Linked DNA regions of Oryctolagus cuniculus. The protein of the gene in region 4 interacts with the protein of the main gene of each other region in a biochemical or structural test. Links are inferred from orthologs where the notes say so. Each region holds a gene or a part of one and is shown on either strand. Other genes may lie near its edges.

What was found.
Region 1: the proteins of PLCG1 (region 4) and GAB1 form a complex in vitro, tested with the Homo sapiens proteins (2 studies listed by BioGRID and IntAct, with this or other methods). The link is inferred for Oryctolagus cuniculus from reciprocal best matches to the Homo sapiens genes PLCG1 and GAB1.
Region 2: the proteins of PLCG1 (region 4) and ERBB3 form a complex in vitro, tested with the Homo sapiens proteins (2 studies listed by BioGRID and IntAct, with this or other methods). The link is inferred for Oryctolagus cuniculus from reciprocal best matches to the Homo sapiens genes PLCG1 and ERBB3.
Region 3: the proteins of PLCG1 (region 4) and EEF1A1 form a complex in vitro, tested with the Homo sapiens proteins (2 studies listed by BioGRID, with this or other methods). The link is inferred for Oryctolagus cuniculus from reciprocal best matches to the Homo sapiens genes PLCG1 and EEF1A1.
Region 5: the proteins of PLCG1 (region 4) and BAG3 form a complex in vitro, tested with the Homo sapiens proteins (2 studies listed by BioGRID). The link is inferred for Oryctolagus cuniculus from reciprocal best matches to the Homo sapiens genes PLCG1 and BAG3.
Region 6: the proteins of PLCG1 (region 4) and PDGFRA form a complex in vitro, tested with the Homo sapiens proteins (2 studies listed by BioGRID, with this or other methods). The link is inferred for Oryctolagus cuniculus from reciprocal best matches to the Homo sapiens genes PLCG1 and PDGFRA.
Region 7: the proteins of PLCG1 (region 4) and LAT form a complex in vitro, tested with the Homo sapiens proteins (2 studies listed by BioGRID and IntAct, with this or other methods). The link is inferred for Oryctolagus cuniculus from reciprocal best matches to the Homo sapiens genes PLCG1 and LAT.

What each region holds. Positions count from the first base shown.
Region 1 is NC_091439.1:21,136,242-21,139,741, reverse strand, and holds part of GAB1 (GRB2-associated-binding protein 1), read left to right. Parts: intron 1-3,180; coding exon 3,181-3,403; intron 3,404-3,500. UniProt on the Homo sapiens protein: Adapter protein that plays a role in intracellular signaling cascades triggered by activated receptor-type kinases. Plays a role in FGFR1 signaling. Probably involved in signaling by the epidermal growth factor receptor (EGFR) and the insulin receptor (INSR).
Region 2 is NC_091442.1:58,896,812-58,900,311, forward strand, and holds part of ERBB3 (receptor tyrosine-protein kinase erbB-3), read left to right. Parts: intron 1-398; coding exon 399-518; intron 519-624; coding exon 625-723; intron 724-891; coding exon 892-1,077; intron 1,078-1,248; coding exon 1,249-1,404; intron 1,405-1,635; coding exon 1,636-1,711; intron 1,712-2,180; coding exon 2,181-2,327; intron 2,328-3,396; coding exon 3,397-3,494; intron 3,495-3,500. UniProt on the Homo sapiens protein: Tyrosine-protein kinase that plays an essential role as cell surface receptor for neuregulins.
Region 3 is NC_091436.1:99,027,911-99,031,914, reverse strand, and holds EEF1A1 (elongation factor 1-alpha 1), read right to left. Parts: upstream 2,801-4,004; 5' UTR 2,773-2,800; coding exon 2,629-2,772; intron 2,372-2,628; coding exon 2,192-2,371; intron 2,079-2,191; coding exon 1,782-2,078; intron 1,702-1,781; coding exon 1,551-1,701; intron 1,450-1,550; coding exon 1,193-1,449; intron 1,027-1,192; coding exon 792-1,026; intron 690-791; coding exon 565-689; 3' UTR 280-564; downstream 1-279. UniProt on the Homo sapiens protein: Translation elongation factor that catalyzes the GTP-dependent binding of aminoacyl-tRNA (aa-tRNA) to the A-site of ribosomes during the elongation phase of protein synthesis.
Region 4 is NC_091442.1:17,778,290-17,781,789, reverse strand, and holds part of PLCG1 (1-phosphatidylinositol 4,5-bisphosphate phosphodiesterase gamma-1), read left to right. Parts: intron 1-1,156; coding exon 1,157-1,241; intron 1,242-1,338; coding exon 1,339-1,422; intron 1,423-1,647; coding exon 1,648-1,682; intron 1,683-1,895; coding exon 1,896-1,968; intron 1,969-2,072; coding exon 2,073-2,174; intron 2,175-2,398; coding exon 2,399-2,517; intron 2,518-2,601; coding exon 2,602-2,687; intron 2,688-2,762; coding exon 2,763-2,883; intron 2,884-3,500. UniProt on the Homo sapiens protein: Mediates the production of the second messenger molecules diacylglycerol (DAG) and inositol 1,4,5-trisphosphate (IP3). Plays an important role in the regulation of intracellular signaling cascades.
Region 5 is NC_091446.1:11,052,123-11,055,622, reverse strand, and holds part of BAG3 (BAG family molecular chaperone regulator 3), read left to right. Parts: intron 1-2,676; coding exon 2,677-3,006; intron 3,007-3,500. UniProt on the Homo sapiens protein: Co-chaperone and adapter protein that connects different classes of molecular chaperones including heat shock proteins 70 (HSP70s), e.g. HSPA1A/HSP70 or HSPA8/HSC70, and small heat shock proteins (sHSPs), e.g. HSPB8.
Region 6 is NC_091439.1:109,918,155-109,921,654, reverse strand, and holds part of PDGFRA (platelet-derived growth factor receptor alpha), read left to right. Parts: intron 1-1,994; coding exon 1,995-2,125; intron 2,126-2,668; coding exon 2,669-2,840; intron 2,841-2,993; coding exon 2,994-3,183; intron 3,184-3,500. UniProt on the Homo sapiens protein: Tyrosine-protein kinase that acts as a cell-surface receptor for PDGFA, PDGFB and PDGFC and plays an essential role in the regulation of embryonic development, cell proliferation, survival and chemotaxis.
Region 7 is NC_091450.1:7,782,849-7,787,036, forward strand, and holds the start of LAT (linker for activation of T-cells family member 1), read left to right. Parts: upstream 1-1,388; 5' UTR 1,389-1,639; coding exon 1,640-1,742; intron 1,743-1,873; coding exon 1,874-1,904; intron 1,905-2,017; coding exon 2,018-2,052; intron 2,053-2,246; coding exon 2,247-2,316; intron 2,317-2,442; coding exon 2,443-2,507; intron 2,508-2,772; coding exon 2,773-2,977; intron 2,978-3,063; coding exon 3,064-3,158; coding exon of another isoform or gene 3,159-3,170; intron 3,171-4,188. Other genes in the region: SPNS1 (protein spinster homolog 1), read left to right, coding at 1-20, 215-386, 526-620. UniProt on the Homo sapiens protein: Required for TCR (T-cell antigen receptor)- and pre-TCR-mediated signaling, both in mature T-cells and during their development.

The DNA.
Region 1 (3,500 bases), on a different chromosome or scaffold from region 4:
ATTTGTGTCTCTACCTGGATTGAGCAAGACCTGGATTGAGCTCCCTGTTCTGACTTTGGCCTGGTCCAACCCCAGCTCTTACAGGCATTTGAGGGAAGGGTGAACCAGTGGATGGAAGAGTACGTTCTCTCTGAGTGTCTCCATCTCTCTCACTTCTCCCTCTCGCCCTTTCTCTCTCTGTCTGCCTTTCCAACAAACTTTCTAAACATTTAATCCCCAGAGAGGGGTAAAATGTCATTTCTAGCTTCTCTTTCTAGTTTCTAACTACCAAGAGAAGCTTCTCTTGGCAGTTAGAATAAATCATGCTTTTTGATGTCTTCATGAATTAACTGTAATATTTATATACGTGCTATAGCAACATTCACTTAGCTCACTTTACAGCTCTTCTTCCTAGGCACAGACTGTATCCTAACTGTGAAGCTCGAATAGTAACACATTAATAAGACTTTTTAAGAATAGCAGTGTATCTCTAATCATGGGTCCCAATAACAAACAAGAATCAGAGCACCTGTGCTGATTATGCCTTACGTGTGGTAAATGCTGAAAAAAAAGTTTCATTCATGGGAGAAACTCACTGAGCATTTTCTCTGTGTGGTTTTAGAAGAGCTCAAAGCAAGGAGTCCAAATCTATAAGACCCATTCACCTGCATGTGCAGTTTGGGCTCTGCTTCTTGGAATTCTGCAAGCCTTACCAGATGCTAATTAATTGAAAACTATTTTCAGTTTGAGAATTTTGCCTGAGTAAATAGGAGTTAATTTCCAAATTTTAAACTTTTAATTCCATTTTATGACAAGTCTTCAAAAGGGCTTATCTTGAAAAATATAATACCTATATTATGTCGAGTTAATTTTTCTTTCTTGTTTATGGAAGGTAAGAACAGAAAAATGAATTTTTAGCTATTTATACAATTTATTGCTGTAACTTCAGTGTTTACTCTTAGCACTTGTAGTCACATTTATTAGGTATTGATTATAAAATGGTGTATACAGCATACACCATGAAATGGGTGAGTTGCTGTTTTGGTTCAGTTGAAAATATTCAGAGATTTATTTATGGGGATTTCAAATGTCACAGATTAAATAGTAATTCATAGTAAACCCTTAAAGAAGACATTAAGAAAAATATATACTACATGGAGGAGAAAAAAACTAGCAGAAGGACCAGAAAGCAGTCAATGTATCACATAGGCTATATTCACAGTGGGTTTTATGTACTACCTTCCTCTGAAGTAGAAACATGTTAGAATTGAATGATCTAGTTAAATTTTTAGTTCAACCAGTACAATAACAAGCTAAACACTAGAAATACATCACTGTATAAAGCCATATGAATTCTAATATTCTGTAACCCTAAAATAAATTTTGAAGATGATTGTTTTTATAGATCACACATTTCCTTTAATATTTTTTCTAAAATTGGTATCTATACACTAATAATTGAGCAGTTCATCTTAAGTGGGAGAAGAAAACCACCCAAACCAAGCCATCACATCTGTCTGACCTTGTTTTATTAACATCAGTGCAACCACCTAATTCTTAGCTTTCTGTTTCTTTCACTTGTGAATGATGAAAGTAGTTTTGTCCTCTTTATAGCTACAGGATCCTCAATTTTCTGAAAAGAGGCCTGGGATTCCAAGATTGCTTAAAAAAAAAAAAAAAAAAAAGAAGGGCCGTGTTCATAGTATGTGAAGATGTGTAAGAGGCAAGAGCTAGAGAAAAACTTGGATTATATTCCCTACCAAGCTTATGAAAGCAAAGACCTTCAAACAGCCATGGAAGGCAACCCCTACCATTACAATCAATACTGGCACACAACGGGGCTTAAAAGGGACTGGGGATAGGGAAGTGGAGTGGATGTGTGGTTCAGCATTTCACTACTTGAGATGCCCACCACCCATAATGGAATGTCTAGTTCAGCTCCTGGCTCCTCCATTTTTAGGTCCAGCTTCCAGCAAATGCTCACCCTGGGAGGCAACAGACAATGGCTCAAATACTTGTATCCCACTACCCACAAGGCAGACCCAGATTGAGGAGCCAGCTCCTGGCTTTGGCCTGGCCCTGCCCTGTCTGTTGAGCATTCGGGTTATGAATTAGTGGGTAGAAGACTTCTCTCTTTCCATCTTTCTGTCTCTCTCTCTGCCTTTCAGATAAAATGAAAATAAATAAATAAAAAGGAGAAGAGGAGACCATTCTACCACGTTGGTCCAACTAATGAACTGTCCTCAGGGTTTCAGTCTTGGGGGTTATTTTACTCATGTTAATTTCACTGTATGCGTATGTAATGTTTTGTTGTGAAAAATCTCAGTGTCAACCCAGCTTTTCCTGTTTGTTTATTTCAGGTTTGTGTATTCATGCAGTATATAAGCATTTGCCTCTCTCTGGGTTGCTCCCAGCCTTCCATTCAGTCCTAACCGGACTCATAGAGCGTTTTTCTTCTGCACCCTTAAAATTATACTTGGTTGCCTCAGTGCTGTCAACAGCATTTTACTTCTGGCTCTTCACCTTGTTTCCACATTACTTCATTCTGCACGAATCTGTGTTCTCAGAACATAGCTAAGCTTAGTACGCTACTTCTTCAGAAACCATGGAAGTGCTGCAGGCGAGTCCTTAAAGGGCAGATGGGGCTGTGAGCTGAGGGACCAGGTGATGCCCTGATGCTTGGACTTCCCAGGGCACGACTAGAATGTGTTTTACTAGTCCAGAATTAAAACTATTTCTCCCTAGTCCATGGACATGTGGAAAGACCAAAAAAAAAAAAAAAAAAAAAAAAATTGGGTCAAGAGTTGACCTCAGTACTCAGAGAACCACGGGCCTGGGAATGGGTCTCCTCAAGAGGGTGGACTTGGCCTAGGAACACTTTGTTATAGAAAAATCTGTCCTGCTAAGGCTGCAGAACACCTTCATTCCTGTGGCCTGAACACTAAAGACTGCTCAAGACGAGGTTAACCGTGTCGTTTTTAGAGCCACTGGAATGGTGAAAGACTCCTCTTAAATCTCTTTGACAAGAACCAGTTAGGTCCTGTATAAATGTTGCCATTTAGGCAGTATTTGTTTTAACTGACATTGTCATGGTTTACTCTTTTTTTTTGTGTTGAACTAACTTGTCGCCACACTTTAAAGCAGCTTTGTTTTAAAAGTGAAAATGTGATAGACAGTGTCGGTTAAACGTTGGTGTTGCAGAGCCTGTGAAGCCGCCTGGCATCTCCCTACAAGCACCAGCTGATTTGCCTTTAGCTATAAACACGGCACCACCGTCCTCCCAGGTGGATTCGTCTGCTGCTCTACCTCCTTCCTATCAGCTGATCAGCCTTCCACCACCCCCGGAAACTCTTGGCATCCAGGAGGATCCCCAAGACTACCTCTTGCTAATCAACTGTCAAAGCAAGAAGCCTGAACCCACCAGGTAAATTGTGTGTGCTGTGCTTGTGTGCACCTCCCTTTAAGCCTGTTAACCCTCGACGTGAAGGTTTTGATGACCCATTGGTACAGGTGTACGTTTC
Region 2 (3,500 bases), about 41 Mb from region 4:
ATGTGCCTTCTCTGTGCTTAAGTTTGCACATCTGTACAGCGCAAATAGCACTCATCCTTCCAGGGAGACTGTTAGGGAGAAAGGGGATAATGCACATGAAAGTTCTTTGAAACGCACAGAGCACTGGATAAAAGGTACTCAAGGTGCCGACTTCCCAGCTCCCCAGCAAAGGGAAAACCTACCCCTCCTGACTCCTGAGCTCGCAAGCACAGCTTCTTCAGTCCTTGGGATCTGTTATTCCTAGATATGCCCATAGTGCTTTCCAGGGCTAAACATAATTCCCATTCCTGCCCCCACACCCTGGGCTCTGCTGCTCCTGGTAGCTATTGCGGGGAGCAGGTTGGTATGGGACATGTGAGTGGGCTTTCCTGAGTTTCTCTTTCCCATCTGCTCCTCAGAGCTTAGAGCCTCTGGATCCCAGCGAGAAGGCTAACAAAGTCTTGGCCAGAATCTTCAAAGAGACAGAGCTGAGGAAGCTTAAAGTGCTTGGTTCCGGCGTCTTTGGAACTGTGCACAAAGTGAGTGACCCCCAGGAAGTCTGGGGAGGTAGGGAATGGATCTGGGGGCAAAGGGCTGACCCTGGGGAGAATGACCCTAGGCTGACTCCTGCCCCAAACTTCCCAGGGTGTGTGGATCCCCGAGGGTGAATCCATCAAGATTCCAGTGTGCATTAAAGTCATCGAAGACAAGAGTGGACGGCAAAGTTTTCAGGCCGTGACGGATGTAAGTAAAGGAATGCTGTGCACCGGTGAGAGAGGGGACAAGATCAGACACAAGCACAGCCTGTGTTAGCAGATACTGTGTTAGACATGCTGATGCACCTGAATGTCCGGGGACGCCCTGGTTGGGGTGTGCCCGTGATTCCTGGATAACATCTCCCGTGTCTCTTAGCACATGCTGGCCATCGGCAGCCTGGACCACGCCCACATCGTACGGCTGCTGGGACTGTGCCCAGGGTCATCGCTGCAGCTCGTCACTCAATACCTGCCTCTGGGTTCCCTGCTGGATCATGTGAGGCAGCAGCGGGAGTCGCTGGGGCCACAGCTGCTGCTCAACTGGGGCGTACAAATCGCTAAGGTGAGAGGAGCATGGCGGGAGTCCTGCGGGAGCCACCTTGCTGCAGCAGGCAGGGCAGGGGTGAGAAGATGACAGCTTTGCAGTGCTTAGAGGACCCTCAAGGGTCTGGGGGCATTCAGGAGGTCCGCAGTGGATTTCCTCCGAGCCTGGGGCTATTTCCTTCCCCTACAGGGCATGTACTATCTTGAGGAGCACGGTATGGTGCACAGGAACCTGGCTGCCCGCAACGTGCTGCTGAAGTCAGCCAGTCAGGTTCAGGTGGCAGATTTTGGTGTGGCTGACCTGCTGCCCCCAGATGATAAGCAGCTCCTCCACAGTGAAGCCAAGGTGAGGGGACACAGAGGGCCTCGTGAGAGGTGGGGTAGTGTAAACAAAGCACGGGGGAAGTCTCTCAGAGCAAGCAGATGCTTCACCGTTAAATTCATGGAGGGCAAGGTGGGGTTGGCAGAAATTTAAGTGCAGACGGCAAGAAGGAAAAACGATAGCATGCTTGGGGTTTGGAAATGCTAAGAAAATTTGTGGAAATGGACTAGTGACACCTTTGTCTTTACTCCCCAGACTCCAATTAAGTGGATGGCTCTTGAGAGTATCCACTTTGGGAAATACACACACCAGAGTGACGTCTGGAGCTACGGTCAGTGCATCTGGGTGCCTTCATGCCATCACTGTCCCAAATTCCACGACTACCTTTTTTTTTTTTTTTTAGTTAATTAATTAATTTGAAAAGCAGAGTTGTAGAGAGGCAGAGAGGAGAGGCCTTCCATCCACTGGTTCACTCCCCAGATGGCCACAATGGCCAGAGCTGCGCCAATCCAAAGTCAGGAGCCAAGAGCTTCTTCTGGGTCTCCAATGTGGGTGGCAGGGGCCCAAGGACTTGGGCCATCTTCTGCTTTCCCAGGCCATAACAGAGCTGAATTGGAAGCGGAGCAGCCGGGACTCGAACCGGTGCCCATATGGGATGCCTGCTACACCACAGTGCCAGCCCCCACAACTGCCTTTGGAGATACCCTCTCTTAGACTCTCTAAGCCCTTCACATCTTGTGTCTGACCAACTTCTGCCTCCCTTTTTACTTCATTGCCTATGGGTACTGTTTTCTTACCAGGTGTGACAGTTTGGGAGCTGATGACCTTCGGTGCAGAGCCCTATGCAGGGCTGCGATTAGCAGAAGTACCAGACCTGTTGGAGAAGGGGGAACGGTTGGCACAGCCCCAGATCTGCACCATTGATGTCTACATGGTCATGGTCAAGTGTGAGTCGCCTGCTGGCTCCAGTCAATTTTTTTCAAATACTTATTTATTTATTTATTTTTAAAGATTTATTTGAAAGAGTTACAGAGAGAGGTAGAGAGGTCTTCCATCCACTGGTTCACTCCCCAAATGGCCGCAATGGCTGGAGCTATGCCAATCTGAAGCCAGGAGCCAGGAGCTTCTTCCAAGTCTCCCAAGTGGGTGCAGGGGCCCAAGGACTTGGTCCATCTTCTACTGCTTTCCCAGGCCATAGCAGAGAGCTGGATTGGAAGAGGAACAGCCAGGACTAGAACTGGCACCCATATGGGATGCTGGCGCTTCAGGCCAGGGTGTTAACCTGCTGCGCCACAGCACCGGCCCCTATTTATTTTTCTGAAAGGTAGAGTGACAGATCTATCTGTTGGTTTATTCCTCAAATGACTGCAACAGCCAGGGCTGCGCCAGGCTGTCACAGTATCCAGGAACTCCATCCAGGTATCCCACATGGGTGGCAGGGACTCAAGTACTTGAGCCTTCATCCACTGCTTCCTGGTGCTTTAGCAGGGAGCTGGATAGGAAGCCTAGTAGTTGGGACTTAAACCAGCACTCAGATATAGGATGTGGATGACCCAAGGAAGAGGCTAAATTGCTGGCCCGACATCCCCCCCTCCCCCAGCCTTTTTTTTTTTTTTTAAGAGAGAGATCGATCTTCTATCTGCTGGTTCACTCCCCCAATTGGCCCCAAAGGCCGGAGCTGCGTTGATCTGAAGCTAGGAGCCAGGAATTTCTTCTGGGTCTCCCACGCGGGTACAAGGGCCCAAGGACTTGGGCCATCTTCCACTGCTTTCCCAGGCCATAGCCGAGAGCTGAATAGGAACTGGTGCTCATATGGGACACCAGAATTGCAGGAGGTGGCTTTACCCACTATGCCATAGCACTGCCCACCCCCACCCCCACCCCAAGCCATTTTTTCACAGTTGATCTTAGCCAAAAGGCTGAAAATCCCAGCTATTTGTTAACTGTTCTCCCTCCCATCTCCTCTTACGGCTCCATGCACACTGACGGTTTTTTACCTCCTGTGTCTTATCCTAGGTTGGATGATTGATGAGAACATTCGCCCAACCTTTAAAGAACTAGCCAATGAGTTCACCAGGATGGCCCGAGATCCACCACGGTATCTAGTCATAAAGGTGAGT
Region 3 (4,004 bases), on a different chromosome or scaffold from region 4:
TAATTTGGGAAACCAAAATTTAATGATTCTAACAAATTTACTTGTAGCTACACAATTTTATATGCAACATTTCATCCCTTAAGATTACAGAATTTTGCTTTCTAAACTAAATTACATGTCAACAGTTCTAACCAGCAGGGCTAACAGCCCTCCATAGCTTAAAACAAACAGGTGGGAAAAAATCCCTAACCCATGGAGTTTTAAAATTCCAGCCAATTCTAATTAGAAAAACCTGGAACACATTTGACAGGTCCAGTGTTGACAAGAAGACACAGGTTTCTCATTAAACTTTGTTTTAATGGGTCTCAAAATTCTGTGACAGATTTTTGGTCAAGTTGTTTCCATTAAAAAGTACTGATTTTAAAAACTAATAACTTAAAACTGCCACGCACAAAAAAAATGGTCCACAAAACATTCTCCTTTCCTTCTGAAGGTTTTACGATGCATTGTTATCATTAACCAGTCTTTTACTATTAAACTTAAATGGCCAATTGAGACAAACAGTTCTGAGACCGTTCTTCCACCACTGATTAAGACTGGGGTGGCAGGTATTAGGGGTAATATTCATTTAGCCTTCTGAGCTTTCTGGGCAGACTTGGTGACCTTGCCAGCTCCAGCAGCCTTCTTGTCCACTGCTTTGATCACACCCACAGCAACCGTCTGTCTCATATCACGGACAGCGAAACGACCTATTAAAACAAGTATTGAGTTGCCATGAGACACATAGTTCACAGAAGCAATTGTTAATCTTTAGTACAACTTGTAATAGCAATAAAAAAAAAAATCCTTACCCAGAGGAGGATAGTCAGAGAAGCTCTCAACACACATGGGCTTGCCGGGAACCATATCAACAATGGCAGCATCACCAGATTTCAAGAATTTAGGGCCATCTTCCAACTTCTTTCCAGAACGACGATCAATCTTTTCCTTCAGCTCAGCAAACTTGCAAGCAATGTGAGCTGTGTGACAATCCAGTACAGGGGCATACCCAGCACTGATCTGACCTGGATGGTTCAGGATGATCACCTGGGAAAAAAAGGATATGCATTTTAGTGCTTCTCAAACTGAACTGTGGTAACAGCTAGAAATGCTAACTCCCCTGATGTGATAACACTTCATACATGCATCAGATTGCTTACCCCCTTGAGTATGCATGAACATTGTCAATTAACAGATCATTTTAAATTGTTACCTGAGCAGTGAAGCCAGCTGCTTCCATTGGTGGGTCATTTTTGCTGTCACCAGCAACGTTGCCACGACGAACATCTTTGACAGACACGTTCTTGACATTGAAGCCCACATTGTCCCCAGGAAGAGCTTCACTCAAAGCTTCATGGTGCATTTCGACGGACTTGACTTCAGTTGTGACATTGACTGGAGCAAAAGTTACCACCATGCCAGGTTTGAGAACACCAGTCTCCACTCGGCCCACAGGGACAGTGCCAATACCTAAAATATTTGCAGATTACCAAAGAGTTATTGAGGGCCAAAGATTTTTCACCTGTTCCAATTCAAGTTATATTCTGATGTTACATTAATACCCAACTTACCACCAATTTTGTAGACATCCTGTAGGGGCAGACGCAGAGGCTTGTCAGTTGGTCTAGTTGGTGGAAGGATGCAGTCCAGGGCTTCAAGCAGTGTGGTTCCACTGGCATTGCCATCTTTGCGGGTGACTTTCCATCCCTTGAACCACGGCATCTGAAACACAAGAGAACAATTAATTCTATCACATCACCACTTCCAGCTCTTTAACAAGCACTGTCTTGAAAGTCACTTACATTAGCACTTGGCTCCAGCATGTTGTCACCGTTCCAACCAGAAATTGGCACAAATGCTACTGTGTCAGGGTTGTAGCCAATTTTCTTAATGTAGGTGCTGACTTCCTTAACGATTTCCTCGTATCTCTTCTGGCTGTAGGGTGGCTCAGTGGAATCCATCTTGTTAACACCAACAATTAGCTGTTTCACACCCAGCGTGTAAGCCAGAAGGGCATGCTCACGGGTCTGCCCGTTCTTGGAGATACCAGCTTCAAATTCCCCGACACCAGCAGCAACAATCAGGACGGCACAGTCAGCCTTTAAAGAAATCAAGGACACACACTGTGAACGAAGGTACCTCAAACCTAAGGAGGAACTCACCCACCCCCCGCCTAGAAAACCTTATGTCTACAGTTACTAGTTGCACAAACCTGAGATGTGCCTGTAATCATGTTTTTGATGAAGTCTCTGTGTCCTGGGGCATCAATGATAGTCACGTAATACTTGCTGGTCTCAAATTTCCACAGGGAGATGTCGATGGTGATACCACGCTCACGCTCGGCTTTCAGTTTATCCAAGACCCAGGCATACTTGAAGGAGCCCTTTCCCATCTGTAATTACACAGAGCACTCAGACGGTTACTAAGACACAGCAAAGCTTGAAACCCCATGCCCCCCTCCGCTTGGGAATGCATTCCGCTTCCCAAACTGCTGGGCCTAGGTGGCTCTCCAGTCGATATGGTGGCTCGTGATTTTAACATTCACATTCAGACAACTAATCACTGTTGTCTTTTATAGTCATAGCACTCTCATTTTAGTGGCCAGACTTAATGTAATTCAGCATCTTTCCCTTGCGATACTGGACATACCTCGGCAGCCTCCTTCTCAAATTTTTCAATGGTTCTTTTGTCGATGCCACCACATTTGTAGATCAGATGGCCAGTGGTGGTGGACTTGCCCGAATCTACGTGGCCAATGACGACGATGTTGATGTGAGTCTTTTCCTTTCCCATTTTGGCTTTGATTTAGCGGTGGTTTTCACGACACCTAAAATGGAAAAAGGGGGGGAACCTTTGAACCACTGTCCGAGGGTTGAGACTAAGCCACGTTCAAAACTCAAAAGGGCAAATTCCAAGGAGAATTACATCCAATGCCAAGCTGGCCTAACTCTTCAGTCTCCACCCACCGAGTGAGTTAACTCCATCGCCTAAAAAATCTCCGCCCCCAGCCGAGCCAAGCCGAACTCCAAAGGCCACACGAAGAAGCCAGGTGCCCAGACGGCGCCCTGTACCCCGTGGGGTCGCAGGAAGCGGCGGCCGAAGAGGGGAAGGCTCTTTTCCTTTGTGTGGGTGACTCACCCGCCCGCTCTCCCGGGCCACCGCGTCCTCCATTTTGAGCTCCCTGCAGCGGGGACGGCGAGCGGCCATCTTTTTCCGCGCACGCAACTGGTGCCGAGCGGGCCGGGCTCCGCCGCCCGGGGTGGGGCGGCCGCGGCCCCACCGAGCCGCCCGCCCCACGACCCTCGCCTCTCCCCTCGCCCGGCCTGGGCAGGCGCGGCGCCGTCGGGCCTCGCCCAGGCCGCGCCCGACATGTGCGCCCGGACGGGCGGGCCCCGCCGCTCGCTGTCCCTACGCCGCGCGGCCGCCCTGCCACCCCCTCGGGCCGGACGACGAACGCGCGGGGTAGCCCGCCCGGCCTCGGCGGGCCCATCTCGACGAACAAAAAAAGAGCCGTACCGATCCACGTAAAAACTCAAAGGGCCGAAGGGCCCCGCGAGCGAGGCTAGCCAGGCCGGCGCGAAGGCGAGAGGACTCGCACGCGGCGGCCACGCCAGGCCTCAACTCCAGCACGAGGAAGAGGCTCCTGGAAAACGCGCAAACCTCCAACCCTCCCGCCCCGTTACAGCCCGAAATTCGGAGCCAGGAACCTCGTCAAGAGGCTCAGTGGCATGGCAGTGTCCCCGAGCACGCGAGGGCCCCAGCCCGCTCAAGGCCAGACCCGCGGAAGCCACACCCGACACTCACCTGTGTTCTGGCGGCAAACCCGTTGCGAAAAAGAACGTCCAGGGCGACTACGGCACTTATATACGGTTCTCCCCCACCCTCGGGAAGAGGGCGGAGTCAGCACACGACACCGCTTTCCCAGTTTGCCCCGCGCCACCTCCACTAGGCACCGGTTCAATCGCCGTCCCCTCCCCCAACGCCTCGGGGACCGTGGGCGATGTGCGCTCCGACCACTGACGAGC
Region 4 (3,500 bases):
ACAGGGATGCCAGCCCATCTCAGAGATTGGGGATGAATGGCGGCTAGTGTGAGCTAGTAAGAGGAAAATGGTATTGAATTCTGGCAGCCTGAGGGAAGACTGTGACATGACCCTTGGGTCAAACAGCATGGTGGGAGAGCAGCATCAGCAGAATGGTGAGGGCTCCAGGCGTGAAAGGGGGCTTGGGAAACTACTTCTGGAAGTTTGTACCGCAGAGGGGAACAGGGAGAGGTAAGCAGGGCAAGACCTGTCTTTTGGTGGGAGACAACAGACGGTTAACATGCTGATGGGAACAGTCCACAGGGAAGCTCTGGTGGCACAAGCCTTTTAGATAAGAAGGCATCTCGTTCCTTACCAGAAACTCGAAACCCTGACAGCTTTTACCTCTTGGGACTGAGGGTCAGATGAGGCTCAGCCATACTGGACCCCTGTGGAGAAGCCGAGTTCCCTCTGGTTTTACTGCTGCCTATCGGGCTATCTCCACATTTCAGAAGAGAAATCCTTTTTCTCCCATCTTGTCCATCCTGTTGCCAGGTCCAACAATATCCCCTGGCTCTCCCATCCTGCACAGGGTACCCTGGAGGGCAGGGATGCTTGCTCTCTAGAGTTCCTTTCCCATCCGACACCAGGAAAGTACCCAGTCACCAGCAGTTTCTCTGAGTGTGCCTATCCCCTCCTCCCATATTCCTTGCACTGTGGCACTGGGTGCTGATGGGGCTTGGGGATAATATGCTCCGAGGAGCAAACTCCCAGCATCCCATCATCCCACTGCTGAGCTACCCCTTGTAGGGAATTTGCCAGTGAGCCCTCCCTTGTGCCCTGCAGGGGCCAGCTGGCACCTGGAGAGCTGGAGGTACAGGCTTCAGCAGTACTGCAAGGAGGGGAGGCCAGGGGTTTGATTTTTCCCTCCTGTTAGGCCTGACCTGTTTTACTGAGCCTGGCCACTTCCTCATTGTCAGAATCATGGAATTTTCTTTGCTCATATGAGGCAACTGAGGCCCAGAGAAGGAAGAGACTTCCCTTGTCCACCTTGTGGGTTCTGATTCAGTCTCGTGCCCAGGATTCCAGATTCCCAGAGTAGTACTGATTACCTATCCAGCCCCAGGTGGGTTGGCCCACACATCAGAGGCCCCTGAGGACACACCTGTTTTCTCAGTATTTCAGCCAAAGACCTGAAGAACATGCTGTCCCAGGTCAACTACCGGGTCCCCAACATGCGCTTCCTCAAGGAGCGGCTGACGGTAAGGACCTCCTGGAGCTGTCTGCAGGGGAGGGGCCAGGGTGGCCAGAAGCCTTTGGCTGGGTGCCTGACTAGCCATCCTGCTCTGTACTGTGTAGGACCTGGAGCAGCGCAGTGGGGACATCACCTACGGGCAGTTTGCTCAGCTGTACCGCAGCCTCATGTACAGCGCCCAGAAGACGGTGCATGAGCCACCTACCCTCCCCTGCCCTGCCCTGCCTCTCCACTCCATCCTCAGCCCTGCTTGCCTCAACCCTGCTGCCCTGCTTGGGGGCTTTTGGGTGCCATTTCTCTAGCCTTTCTTCTCCTGAGGTCTGTCCCTTGCTGCCCCAGCCTCTCTTCCTAAGAGGCCGTTTCCTGTGAGGCCCCCAAGGACTTGCACCCTGACCAGGTTCTGTTTCCTGCAGATGGATCTCCCCTTCTTGGAAGCCAGCGCCCTGAGGTTTGGTTCGGAGTGGGGAGGTGGGGTTCTTTCCTGGGCCTCCCTCATCTCTGTCATGGGTACTTCCTAATCCATGTGAAAAGGGTGAGCCATGCTAGACTACTCTGGGTAGCTATGCTGGCTGGGAGTTGGCCTCTGCCTTCCAGGGGGCCCCTAGCTGTTAGCAGTGCTAGCCAACTGGCTGCCAGGCACTTACCATTTCTCTCCCTGCAGGACAGGGGAGCGACCAGATCTTTGCCGAGTGACCCTTCCTGAGTTCCAGCAGTTCCTCCTTGAGTACCAGGGGGTATGGCAGGGCTGGGGCTGGGCCAGGGTATCAGGCTTCAGGGCTGGGTTCATCCCTGACCTGAGGCCTCTCCCATGCCTTCCCTTTGTTCCCCTCCCTGTCAGGAGCTATGGGCCATTGACCGGCTCCAGGTACAGGAATTCATGCTCAGCTTTCTCCGGGACCCCTTGCGAGAGATTGAGGAACCATACTTCTTCCTGGATGAGGTGGGCTTCACTGTTATCTCTTTATGTCAGGGCGGGGGGTGGTGGTGACCAGAAGCCCAACTGAACCCCAAGAGCCAGCTTCTCAGAGATTCCTCCTTGTTACACCTGAAATCCACCTTGACCACCCCAGCTGAGGCTGAGTGACCTCTCTTCCACCCCTGTTCACCATCCCGGGGCCAGGCAGGGGCTCACTTTGTCTTCCCTTCCACATTTGTTTTGGACAGTTTGTCACCTTCCTGTTCTCCAAAGAGAACAGTGTGTGGAACTCCCAGCTGGATGCAGTGTGCCCAGACACCATGAACAACCCTCTCTCCCACTATTGGATCTCATCCTCACACAACACGTGAGTGTGGCTCCCTCAGCCCCACTCTGCCCTCTCTCGAGGAAGAGGAGCCCACCTGACCACACCCACTTCTTGCCTATCCAGGTACCTGACTGGGGACCAGTTCTCCAGCGAGTCCTCCCTGGAAGCCTATGCTCGGTGTCTGCGGATGGGCTGTCGCTGCATTGAATGTGCGTGGGGGCCAGGACCTGGGAGGGGGAAGGTGCGAGGCCTGCCCCTTTGACTGTGATAATGTTGCTTCCCAGTGGACTGCTGGGATGGCCCAGATGGGATGCCAGTCATTTACCATGGACACACCCTTACCACCAAGATCAAGTTCTCAGATGTCCTGCATACCATCAAGGAACATGCCTTTGTGGCCTCAGAGTGAGTGGAGAGGGGGTCCTCCTGGTGAACCCGGCCCCTAACTCTGACTCCTGGGACAGAGGGACCCCCTCATACCCATCCCCACTCCCCTCTCCTTCCTCTTGGCCTGCCCTCCTCTCCTTGCTCTATTTTCCTGTTAATTCCTGTTTCCTGCATCCTTGGCCCACATGGTTCCTGGCCTTTCTCTTCAACCTGAGGAACACATTTTAGCTCTTCTCAGTGTTAACCCTGGTCTCTTTATGCCAGTGACCTGCCAGTTTCTTTACTTCATAGCCTAGGGAATTACCTACATTCACTGTATCCCATTCCTAGATTCTTATTTACCACCTAACCTGTGGTCACTTGTGTCTCGCCTCACTCAAGGAATCACCAGTGGTCCCCGATAGCTAAATTAGGAGGTCTCTTACCTATTCTGACCTCTTCAGTGTAGGATATCTGCACTGCTGGGCAATCTGTGTAATTGGATTAACTGGGAACTACTTCTGTGCAGCTATTGCTACCCCAAGGCTTCCCCCTGAAAAACCCCTTCTACTTGCCAGTGGTTGTGGTCTATCTTTTCCATAGACAAGGTCCTCAGGCCCTTGTTTCCCAGTATCTTAGTCTGTAAGGGGCTGTTT
Region 5 (3,500 bases), on a different chromosome or scaffold from region 4:
TCACTCCCCAAATTACCGCAACGGCCAGAGTTGAGCTGATCCAAAGCCAGGAGCCAGGAGCTTCTTCCTGGTCTCCCACGTGGGTGCAGAGGCCCAAGAACTTGGGCCATCTTCTGCTGCTTTCCCAGGCCACAGCAGAGAGCTGGATTGGAAGAGGAGCAGCCAGGACTCACACTGGCTCCCATATGGGATGTCGGGACTGCAGGCTGGGGCTTTAACCACTGTCTGGCCCCTCTCTTGTCTCTTAAAGTTGAGGTACAGAATATGGTCAGTAAGATACAGATAAGGCCAGCTTCCTGGACACAGGGGCTTTCTCCAGGTAGAGCCGAGAGCTCAGCCAGGCCTAGCTAAGGATTCTAGGGGGTGGCAGTGTCGGGACTACAGAGAAGGTATTATTGGACAGGTTTTCACAGGAGCACACCCATTTCCTGCCCCCAGAAGACAGAACCTCAGAAGGTTCTTTCAGACCCCTGTCTGGCCATGTCCTCTCCTCTGGGGTGACCACCATTTGACTTGTGTCACTGTTGATTGTCCTTCACCTTGGTTCCGCTGCCGTGCCCCCGTCCCCCTGCCCCCCCCCCCAGTCTGACAGGCACTGTCTTGTGCCTATGTAGGGGGAGCTCCTGTTTGTCGCAGGCCCCTGCGTCCCTTCTCATGGGTCTTACAAAACCTCACTGCAGCTCTGCAGGCTCAGTGTTGCTGGCTCCCATCCAGGCTGGTTCCACCCTTGAAAGCCCCATCTCCCCCGTACCTCAGGCCTCTTTATATTTGCCCCAGGCACCCTTAACCCATCTTCTAAGCTCCTTGTTGCAAGAGAGGGTGCCTTGCTGGTTTGGTGAGCCCGAGAGACCCACCAGCACGTGGTGAAGGCGTCCTGACTGCTGGGCTCTGGAGTGTGCAGTGTCTGGGGAGAAGCAGTGAGCCTGCAGGCAGCCCGCAGAGATGACATCGCACGGCCGTGCAGGCCGAGATTGCAGCTGGAAGGAAGTGGGGGTGGGCTGGGGGTGGACGGCACTCCGGGAGGGCGTGTTGTGGCTCTCGGCGGAGCAGCCGAAGCTTTCTCAGCACCTCCAGCCTGCTGCCTTTTACTGCCTGTCCCACGGCAGGAACTGGGTTCCGAATCTGACGTCCAGACCCACTGCCTGCTCTTGGGTGACCTGAGAGTTAAGCAGGCTAAAATAATGCTGCCGCCCTGAGCACGTGGCTATTCTAATCTGAGACTGCCTGCCTGCCTGTGTCCCCAAGGACAGGGCGACACCCTTGCCTTTTCTGTGTGCTGGACGCCCGCCCTAGGCAGGGTCTCAGCGGGATTGCAGTTAGTGTTGTCTGCACTCAGAATGCAGAGCAGCCCTTGTTGTCTGTCTCGCTTTTGGTGGATTTTGCGCCAGTGGGACTTGTACTGTGCAAGCTTAGATTCCCCACGTGTGCTTGCCATTCAGCAAGACTCCTCCTACAGGAAGGGCTCAGGGGTCTGTGCACTGGGATGTGTACGGATGACACAGATCAGTGCCCTTCCCCCACCCCGTGAAAGGAGCCCTAGTCCAAGGGGTCAGGGCTTCATTGCACAGCCTCTGTGTGCTGAGAGATGGCAGTGCCCAGTGACCCACCGGCCTTGTCTGAAATAAGATCTTTCCCTGCGGAGCATCTGGAACGCGGCCTTCTCAAGGGTCCCAAAATAGCCAGGCCACTGAAGGGAGACTGCGAGAGAGGACGGAAGAGGGGGTCCCCAGCCGCCGCTCGCAAGAGTGGGCCCTGTAATGCTAGAGGAGACTGACTCGGGGGCCTGGGCTGAGGTCCACAAGGAAGCCTGCAACGGGCAGGGGCGGGGCAGAGAGACCGATGTGGGCAAGGGGGGCTTTACAGCCGCGGAGCAGGGTGTGGCCCTGGACAGAAAGTGACTAAGGGGAAGTCAGGGTCAGAGAGATTCTGGCCAAACCTACCTAACAGGATTCTTGCTGCAGCCGGGCCTGTGGCGTGAGCAGACCCTGGAGGCTGAGGAAGTGGATCAGATATCCAGGGTGGGGCACTCTGGCTAAACCAACTGAGCAGGGTTCTTCTGCTAAAACTGGATCTTACAGGGGAATGCGCTGATGGGCCTAGGAGAAGAAGGTTCTGAAATCTGAAATAAAGTTTGAGCAAAGAATCCTTGTGGAAGCCGAGCTCAGGGAATCCCCAGATGCTTCCCCTCCCGGCTGGCCCTGCCTTTCTGGTTGTTCCTGACCATATCGCTGCAGGGGCAGCGCCTGTGCCACCCCACTTCTCTGCAAAGACTTCCCAACTGTGTTCTGTGTTTGTGTTTGGACTGGAAATCTAGGAGGTGATCTTTTATTAATTTTTTTTTGCTATACATTGGTGGTGGTTGCAGCTGGACCCTGCTTCCAAGGGCCCACCTTCTGGTCTGGATCTCTGAAGATCTGGGGACAGTCGGCTGCTCTCATTCACTGCTGTCAGTTTGGGAATTGGGAACTCGCTGTGCTCCACAGCTACCCTGGCTCACCTCTCTCCTGATGCCCCCAGACAGCAGTAGAGCTGGTGGCAGAGGCAGGGGGCTGGGCGCGTCCCAGCTGACACTCTGGGGTGCAGAGCACTCTGGGAGATCACGCTCTCGATGCCACAGTTGCCTTCTCGCAGCGTTTTCTTACCAGTTTCTAACCCATCTGTGTTTCTTCCCTTTAGGAGACTCCATCCTCAGCCAATGGGCCCTCGCGGGAGGGTGCCAGGCTGCTGCCCGCTAGGGAGGGCCACCCTGTGTACCCCCAGCTCCGACCAGGCTACATTCCCATCCCCGTCCTCCACGAAGGCGCTGAGAACCGGCAGCCGCACACTTTCCACGTCTATTCCCAGCCTGGGGCACAGCGATTCCGAACCGAGGCAGCCGCCGCTGCGCCGCAGAGGTCCCAGTCACCTCTGCGGGCTGTGCCGGATGCCACGCAGCCAGAGAAACAACAGTGTGCACAGGCGGTGGCAGCTGCGGCAGCCCAGCCCCCAGTCTCCCATGGACCTGAGGTAAGAGAGGCCTGGCCCTAGGCCAGGCGCCTGTTAATGAGCAGGGCATCTATCTGGGCCTGGCTGGCGGCGGCGGAGGTCACCCAGCAAGGACAGGTTGTTGGCCGCACGTCAGCCCCAGCGTTGTGTGAACGTGCACGGAGCTGGAAGTTGCCGAGCTGGGACTGGACACTCGGGCTCTGGCTCCAAGCTGGGGCCCCCCTTTCACACAGGGCTTTCTAGTTCCAAAGCACAGAGAGGTGCTTGTCCATGGTGCTTGGTGCTCAGGAGTGGATCCTAAGCCCTCGGAGCTGTGCTGTTAGGAAACCGAGACCACATCCCAGCCCTCCCGGCTTCGCACTGGCTGAAACAGGAAATCCAGAACAAGGAGTCAGGGACGCGTCGATAGCAGATTGGGTTTCGCTCCTGAAGCCAAATACTTCAGGGCATGTTGATGGATTGAGGGCATTAATAGCTCAAACCTGGCTTCCTCTGTCTCAGCTGAAACCCGCGGC
Region 6 (3,500 bases), on a different chromosome or scaffold from region 4:
GTCATTATTTTGTATTTCTGTGCGGCCGCTGGCTGCCCCTCCGTCTTCAGGACCTCAATAGCCAGGCCTCTGAGGTTTTACAGATTCTGTCTCCCTCGAACTGATTGGTGGAGCATTTTTTTTTTCATGTCATTCTTTTTTTTTTTTTTTTATCTTTTATTAAATGAATATAAATTTCCAAAGTACGACTCATGGGTTACAATGGCTTTCCCCCCCATACCGTCCCTCCCACCCACAACCCTCCCCCTTCCCACTCCCTCTCCCCTTCCATTCACATCAAGATTCATTTTCGATTATCTTAATATACAGAAGATCAGCTTAGTATACCTTAAGTAAGGATTTCAACAGTTTGTTCCCACACAGAAACATAAAGTGAAAAATAATAGATGATTTTTTTTTAAATGATGATGAAATCAGATCAGACCTATTGTCATGTTTAATCCCAGTGAGAGTCAAGTTGGGAATTGATAATTTCTTTTTTTTTTTTTTTTTTTTTTTTTACAGAAGATCAGTTTAGTGTACATTAAGTAAAGATTTCAATCGTTTGCATCCCCATAGAAGCACAAAGTGAAATATACTGTTTGAGTACTCGTTATAGCATTAAGCCTCAGTGTACAGCACATTAAGGACAGAGATCCTACATGAGGAGTAAGTGCACAGTGACTCCTGTTGTTGACTTTACAAATTGACACTCCTGTTTATGGCATCAGTAATCTCCCTATGCACCAGTCATGAGTTTCCAAGGCTATGGAAGCCCCTTGAGTTCTCTGACTCTTATCTTGTTTAGACAAGGTCATAGTCAAAGTGGAGGTTCTCTCCTCCCTTCAGAGAAAGGCACCTCCCTCTTTGAAGACCTGTTCTTTCCACTGGGATCTCACTCGCAGAGATCTTTTTGCCAGAGTTTCTTGGCTTTCCATGCCTGAAATACTCTCATGGGCTTTTCAGCCAGATCCGAGTGCCTTTAGGGCTGATTCTGAGGCCAGAGTGCTATTTAGGACATCCGCCATTCTATGAGTCTGCTGAGTATCTCACTTCCCATGTTGGATCACTCTCCCCTTTATTTATTCTATCGGTTAGTGTTAGCAGATACTAGACTTGTTTATGTGCTCCATTTGACTCTTAGTCCTTTCATTATGATCAATTGTGAACTGAAATTGATCACTTGGAATAGTGAGATGGCATTGGCACATGCCACCTTGATGGGATTGAATTGGAATCCCCTGGTATGTTTCCAACTCTACCAATTGGGGCAAGTCAGCCCGAGCATGCCCCAAATTATACATCTCTTCCCTCTCTTATTCCCACTTTTATGTTTAACAGGGATCACATTTCAGTTAATTTTCAACACTTAAGAATAACTGTGTGATAATTACAGAATTAAACCGGTCATATTAAGAACAGACAAAAAAAAATACTATGAGGGATAATGTATTAAGTTGTCCATTAGCAGTCAGGGCTATGCTGATCAAGTCACCGTTTCTCATAGTGTTGATTTCACTTCAGGAGGTTTCCTTTTTGGTGTTCAGTCAGTTGTCACCGATCAGGGAGAACATATGGTATTTGTCCCTTTGGGACTGGCTTACTTCACTCAGCATGATGTGTTCCAGATTCCTCCATTTTGTTGCAAATGACTGGATTTCGTTGTTTCTTACTGCGGTATAGTATTCTAAAGAATACATATCCCATAATTTCTTTATCCAGTCTACCATTGATGGGCATTTAGGTTGGTTCCAGGTCTTGGCTATTGTGAATTGTGCTGCAATAAACATTAGGGTGCAGACCGCTTTTTTCTTTATCAATTTAAACTCCTTTGGGTAAATTCCAAGGAGTGGGATGGCTGGGTCGAACGGTAGGGTTATATTCAGGTTTCTGAGGAATCTCCAGACTGATTGGTGGAGCATTTTGCGGGGTTTTCTCACCCGTGCGCACTTGAAACCGTCTCATAAGCCGAGCGCACCGGGGGATTCAGGCGCTCGTGTGTGCTCTCGTTGCAGCGACGTCGGAGTTGGATCTGGAAATGGAAGCGCTCCAGACTGTGTATAAGGCAGGAGAGACGATTGTGGTCACCTGCGCCGTCTTCAACAACGAAGTGGTGGACCTGCAGTGGACTTACCCCGGGGAGATGGTGGGTGCCCCATGGAGACGGCCGTGGTGCACTTGGCTGCACGTGCATCTCGCTAGGGATCGTGGGCAGGTGCATCTCCCTAGTGATCCATGTCCTGTCGGCGTTGCTGGGCCCCTCGCCTCTGCAGTGAGCACCGGGTGGTCTTTCAGGCTCCTCCCTTGAGGGTGGGCATTGGCCCAGCTGCCTCAGACTCCTGCATCTCACCACAGTGCCTGGCGTGGAGTCCTGGCTTCACTCTGGATTTGCGTGGTTTTTTGTTTTGTTTTGTTTTGTTGTTTGTTTTTGTTTTTTAGCAGCTGCCTGCTAATGCCACTGTGTGTACCCTGGGAGGCCTCAAGTCCTTGGGCCCCTGCCACCCACACAGGAGACCTGGACTGTGTTCCTGGCCCCTGGCTGCGGCGTGGCCCAGCTCCAGCGGTTGTGGGCCTTGCGGGGAGTGAACGGGCAGATGGAACATGCTAGTCCTCTCTCTGCCTCTCAAATAAATGAATAAAATAGAGCGCATGTCTTCAAAGCTTTTTTTTTTTTCCTCTGCCACTGCAGAAGGGCAAAGGTGTCACAATGCTGGAAGAAATCAAAGTCCCCACGCTCAAGCTGGTGTACACGCTGACGGTCCCCAGGGCCACAGTGAAGGACAGTGGGGACTACGAGTGCGCCGCCCGCCAGGCCACCAGGGAGGTCAAAGAGATGAAGAAGGTCACCATCGCCGTGCATGGTAGGGCCCGCCTCCCGCGAGGGCTGCCGGGCCGTGTGCACTGTGGGGGGCCGTGTGCACTGTGGGGGGCCGTGTGCACTGCGGGGGCCGTGTGCACTGCGGGGGCCGTGTGCACTGACGCCCTTGCTCCAATGCGCACTCTTCCCTCTGCAGAGAAGGGGTTTGTGGAGATCAAGCCCACTTTCAACCAGTCGGAGGCCGTCAACCTGCACGAAGTGAAGCATTTCGTGGTGGAGGTGCGTGCCTACCCCCCGCCCAGGATATCCTGGCTGAAGGACAGCCGGACTCTGATCGAGAATCTCACGGAGATCACCACGGACGTGGAGCAGGTGCAGGAGACGCGGTAAGGAGCCCCAGGCGCACCTGGCAGACCTGAGACGGGGCGGTGGGAGGTCCCCGGCATGGGTGGTGTGTCGGTGGCACCAGGAGCCACCTGTCATCTTCCCCACCCCCGTCACAGACAGGGCGCTGGCTCTGCGGGGTGGGGCAGGGAGGAAGGAAAGGGTAATGGAGACCATTTGGGTTGAACGCATTCCTTGATGTCTCCAGGAAACACAGTGTTGTTGGCTCAGCGTGGAACACAGTTGCCCCGGTAGGGGGCTCCATGGGCACTAGGAATGTCCTGGCTATAAGTGGTGCCGGGGCTGCTTGGTGACATGG
Region 7 (4,188 bases), on a different chromosome or scaffold from region 4:
GCCCCTACCTCATCGGCCTGGTGAGCCTCACCCCGGGCTTGGGGGTCCTGTTCTCCCAGCACTGGCCGGTGGCCTACCTGGGCGGCTGCAGGCGCTGGGCACCCTATAGCCTCCCCTGGGTGGGGAGGGCTTTGTCTTGGCAGAGTCCCTGAGGGCCCACCCCTTTCCCATGGCTGTCCCGGCCGCCCCCGACGCTCCGCCCTGCCCCCCGCAGATCTCCGACCGCCTCCGCCGCAGCTGGCCGCCATCTTTCCTGTCCGAGTTCCGGGCCCTGCAGTTCTCGCTCATGCTCTGCGCCTTCGTCGGGGCGCTGGGCGGGGCCGCCTTCCTGGGCACCGCCATGTTCATCGAGGGTGACCGCCGGCGGGCGCAGCTGCACGTGCAGGGTCAGTGCGGGCCCCGCCCTGGCTCCCGGCCGCTGTCTCAGCGCTGGGGCTGGCGGCTCTGTGTCCTCCTCCTGGTGGTGGCTCTGCGGGTCTGCTCCAGCTGACCTTCCAGCCCTGGCTCTGACCCCGCCCCCCACAGGTCTGCTGGCCGAGGCAGGGCCCGCAGATGACCGCATCGTGGTGCCGCAGCGTGGCCGCTCCACCAGGGTCCCCGTGTCCAGTGTGCTCATCTGAGTGGCCGTCCCTCACCTGTCCGCACATCTGCCGCCGCGGGCCCTGGGGCCCGTCCCACGAGGTGCCCGGGCCTAAGCCCTCAGCCCGGCCCAGCTTCCAGGAGGGACCCTGGGCCCTGTCCAGCTCCCAGACACTACATGGGCAGCCTAGGGGAGGAGTTGGGGGTCTGGGGTGGGGAGGGGTGGGGTCCCCTCCACTGGAGCAGCCCCAGGGGGTTGGTGCTATTTGTAACCGAATAAACTTTGTAGCCAGACCCCAAGTGCCTACCTGAGTCTTTTGTCTGGATGCTGGTGACCCCTGACCTCTGGCTGGCCATCTCCAGCCCCAGGGCTCCTGGGGGCGGCGGGGGCGCTGCCGGGGGGCCACCGGGCCAGTCCCTGTGCTGTGGGGCTAAGCGCCCAGCAGTGAGGACCGCCGTGCCAGTGAGCTGGCTCCGTGTGACCCTGAGTCACGGCCGGGCTTACTGGAGCCCGCCCCCCCCTCCGCACACAACCCCTGGCCAGCCTGGGCGAGCTGGGGTGGGCGCTGCCCTCTGCCTGGCGGAATGCCTGCCGCCGACCCCGACCCCCGGTGGCTTGCCACAGGCCTTCACTCCCACGGAGGAGCTGCCCCTCGTCCCACGGGCAAGTGTCCCTTCGTGAGAACCCTGACGGGGAGGCCTCCCCCTCCCCACCGGCTGGGTGGGGGTGGGAAGGGGCGGTGCAGCGGGCTGGGAGCCCGATGATTTCCTGCCTTCACCCGGTGCTCACCACAGCTTCCTGCCGAGGACGGGCGCCGAGGCGAGGCGAGGCCAGGCGGGCGTCTGGCCCAGGGCAGGTACCGCTGGGGTGCAGGGACCCGTCTCACGCTTGCATGGCGTGGCTGGAGCCCTGGACCCCAGCCCGGGCCCTGGCCTGACCTAGGGGGCTAGGGTCCCCCAGAGCTTGCACAGAGCCCAGCCCCCACAGAGGGCTCCGCTGCCCCCTACCCCCCACCGCTGCGCCCTTCCCTGAGGACCTGGGCCAGGCTCTGCCCAGCAGATGGAGGTGAACGTCCTTGGACACTCGGCGCTGGGCCTCCTGCTGGGGCCGCTCCTGGCTGTGCTGCTAATGGCCCTGTGTGTGCGCTGCCGCCGGCTGTCAGGTGAGCAGGGGCTTGAGGGCGGGGGTGCACCTGCTGGAGTCGCTGTACAGTCCCCGGCCTCCCTCGCCTGCCTCCGCCTGCCACCGCCCCGAGCCCTGGCCCCTGCCTCACCAACCGCTCTCTTCCCCCAGACTCCTACAACAGTGCCTCTTCCTCGGATGGGTGAGTGGGTCCCCTCCGCCCCGTGCCTGTCCCCCGCAATTCCCCATGGAGGGCTGGGCTGGGGGTGGGGGGTCTTGCTCGGCTCCAGCCCCCACCTGTGTCTCTCTTGCCAGTTTGTATCCCAGGAGCATCTTGATCAAACCGCCCTGTGAGTAGTTGGAGGCGCCCCTGCCTCCGGGAGAGAGGCTCCCTCCGTTGGGTGTCCCCTCGTTCTAGGTTGCCCACATGGCCTTGGCTTGAGCTGGGATGGGGAGTGGGGGGCGGTCAGGGCACCAGGGCTTCGAGGAAGGCGGGAGATGCGGGTCGGAAGTCACTCTTCCCAGCTCAGCTCTGTGTCCTCAGATACCCCTGCCCCCTGGCCGGCTGTTACCTCCGTTCCACCCCTGAGCCAGCCAGACCTGCTCCCCATCCCGTGAGTAGCCCCCCAACTCCTTCGCCTCCAAATCTCTCTCTACTCCCTTGTTTTTCCAGTGCCCCCCGCCCCGCCCTGCTGTAACCCTCCTGGCATTGAGTGTGACCTCTGACCTTTGATTCCCAGGAGATCTCCGCAGCCCCCTGGGGATTCCCACCGGATGCCGTCTTCCCGGAGGGACTCTGGTGGCGGTAAGTGTGGCAGGGCACCCCCACTCTGCCGGGAAGGCAGGGGTGCCTCCAACTACTCACAGGGCGGTTTGATCAAACTCACAGGGATATACAAACTGGCAAGAGACACGGGTGGGGGCTGGAGCCGAGCCAGACCCCCCACCCCCAGCCCAGCCCTCCGTGGGGAATTGCGGGGGACAGGCACAGGGTGGAGGGGACCCACTCACCCATCCGAGGAAGCCCAACCCTGAGCTGACTCAGTTTCCCTCTTGCTCTCTCCTTGAAGCCCAGAGCGTGGCGAGCTACGAGAACGAGGGTGCGTTTGGGCTGCCGGGGGCGGCGGGGTTGGGGGGCCCAGCCGGGTGGGGAGGCGGGGGCCTGTCTCGGGCTGTGCTGAGCTCTCCCCACCCCGTGTCGTTGCCCGCAGAGCTGGCCTGTGAGGACGCGGATGAAGATGAGGATGAGGAGGACTCTCACAATGAGGGCTACCTGTGAGTGGCAAGGGGGCAGGTGGGCAGGTGGGTGCTGGGGCCCCGGGCGAGCTTCCTCACCCCCTCCCCCATTGGTTCACTCTCAGGGAGGTGCTTCCCGATGACAGCCCGGCCACCAGCGGCCCTGGCCCCTCCGCCCCTGCGCCCGGAAACCCTGGTCTCCGAGACAGTGCCTTCTCCAGTGAGTCAGGAGGTGCCGGGCCCCCCCCCCCCGCATGCTCCCCTGCCCTGTGAAGGTTTTAGCGACCCCGCTCCCCTGTGCTCCCTCTCCAGGGCTCCCCTGCTGCAGGTGCCGGACTTCTGCCCTGGCCTTGATTTCTCCTTTATTGTCTGGGAGATGTCCTTGCCTTTATTCGCAGCCCTTGTGCTGTATATATGTTTTCCCCTCCTATCCAGTTCTTTCTGGGTCTCTGCATGTTCCTTTTTTGTAGCCCCCTGTTCTTGTTTCATGGAGGCAATAGCATCTTGTACATTTCTGTTTTTTTTTTTTAACTAAAGATTAAAAAGAAATTTTGCAAAAATGTATTTTGAGAGGCAGTGGCTCAGATGCCGGCAACAGCCAAGGCTCAGCCTAACTGAAGCCTGGAACCTGGAACTCAGCCATGTGCGCGGCAGAAACCCAGCCGCTCGAGCCGTCCACGGCTGCCTCCCAGGGTACACCGCAGCAGGAAGCCGGAACTGGGAGTGGAGGGGGAGGGGCAGGGGGCTCCAGCCCAGGCTCTCTGAGCTGGGAATACAGGTTGTGGGCATCCCCCGCAGGGTCTTCACCGCTGTGCCCAGTGCCCACCGCCATCTGGTCGGTCTGAGGACCTGATGGTGTGTGTGTGTGTGTGTGTGTGCGCGCACACATGGCTGGGGGAGGGGGCGCCTTTTCCTCTGCTCCCCTTGGAGCTGCCTTTCTCCCTTCAGTTTGGTTTCACCCCGGGGCTTTTCTCGCCTGCTACGTGTGCTGGTCCCTGGCTCCCGCACCTGCAAGCTGCCGTCCCTCACCATCCCAAGTCCTGGGCTGCATCAGTTTGTCCCAGTGCTGCTTCCCATCCATCCATCCATCCATTCATTCACTTGTCACCCATTGTCCTGCAAATGCCTCCGTGGGGCTGAGGCCAGGCTGTGACAGCCACTGAGGCAAAGCACAGAGACTTCAGCGTCTCGTGCTGGCTGAGGGCTGCCACTTTATTTATTTGAGAGGCAGAGTTACAGAGAGAGAGAGA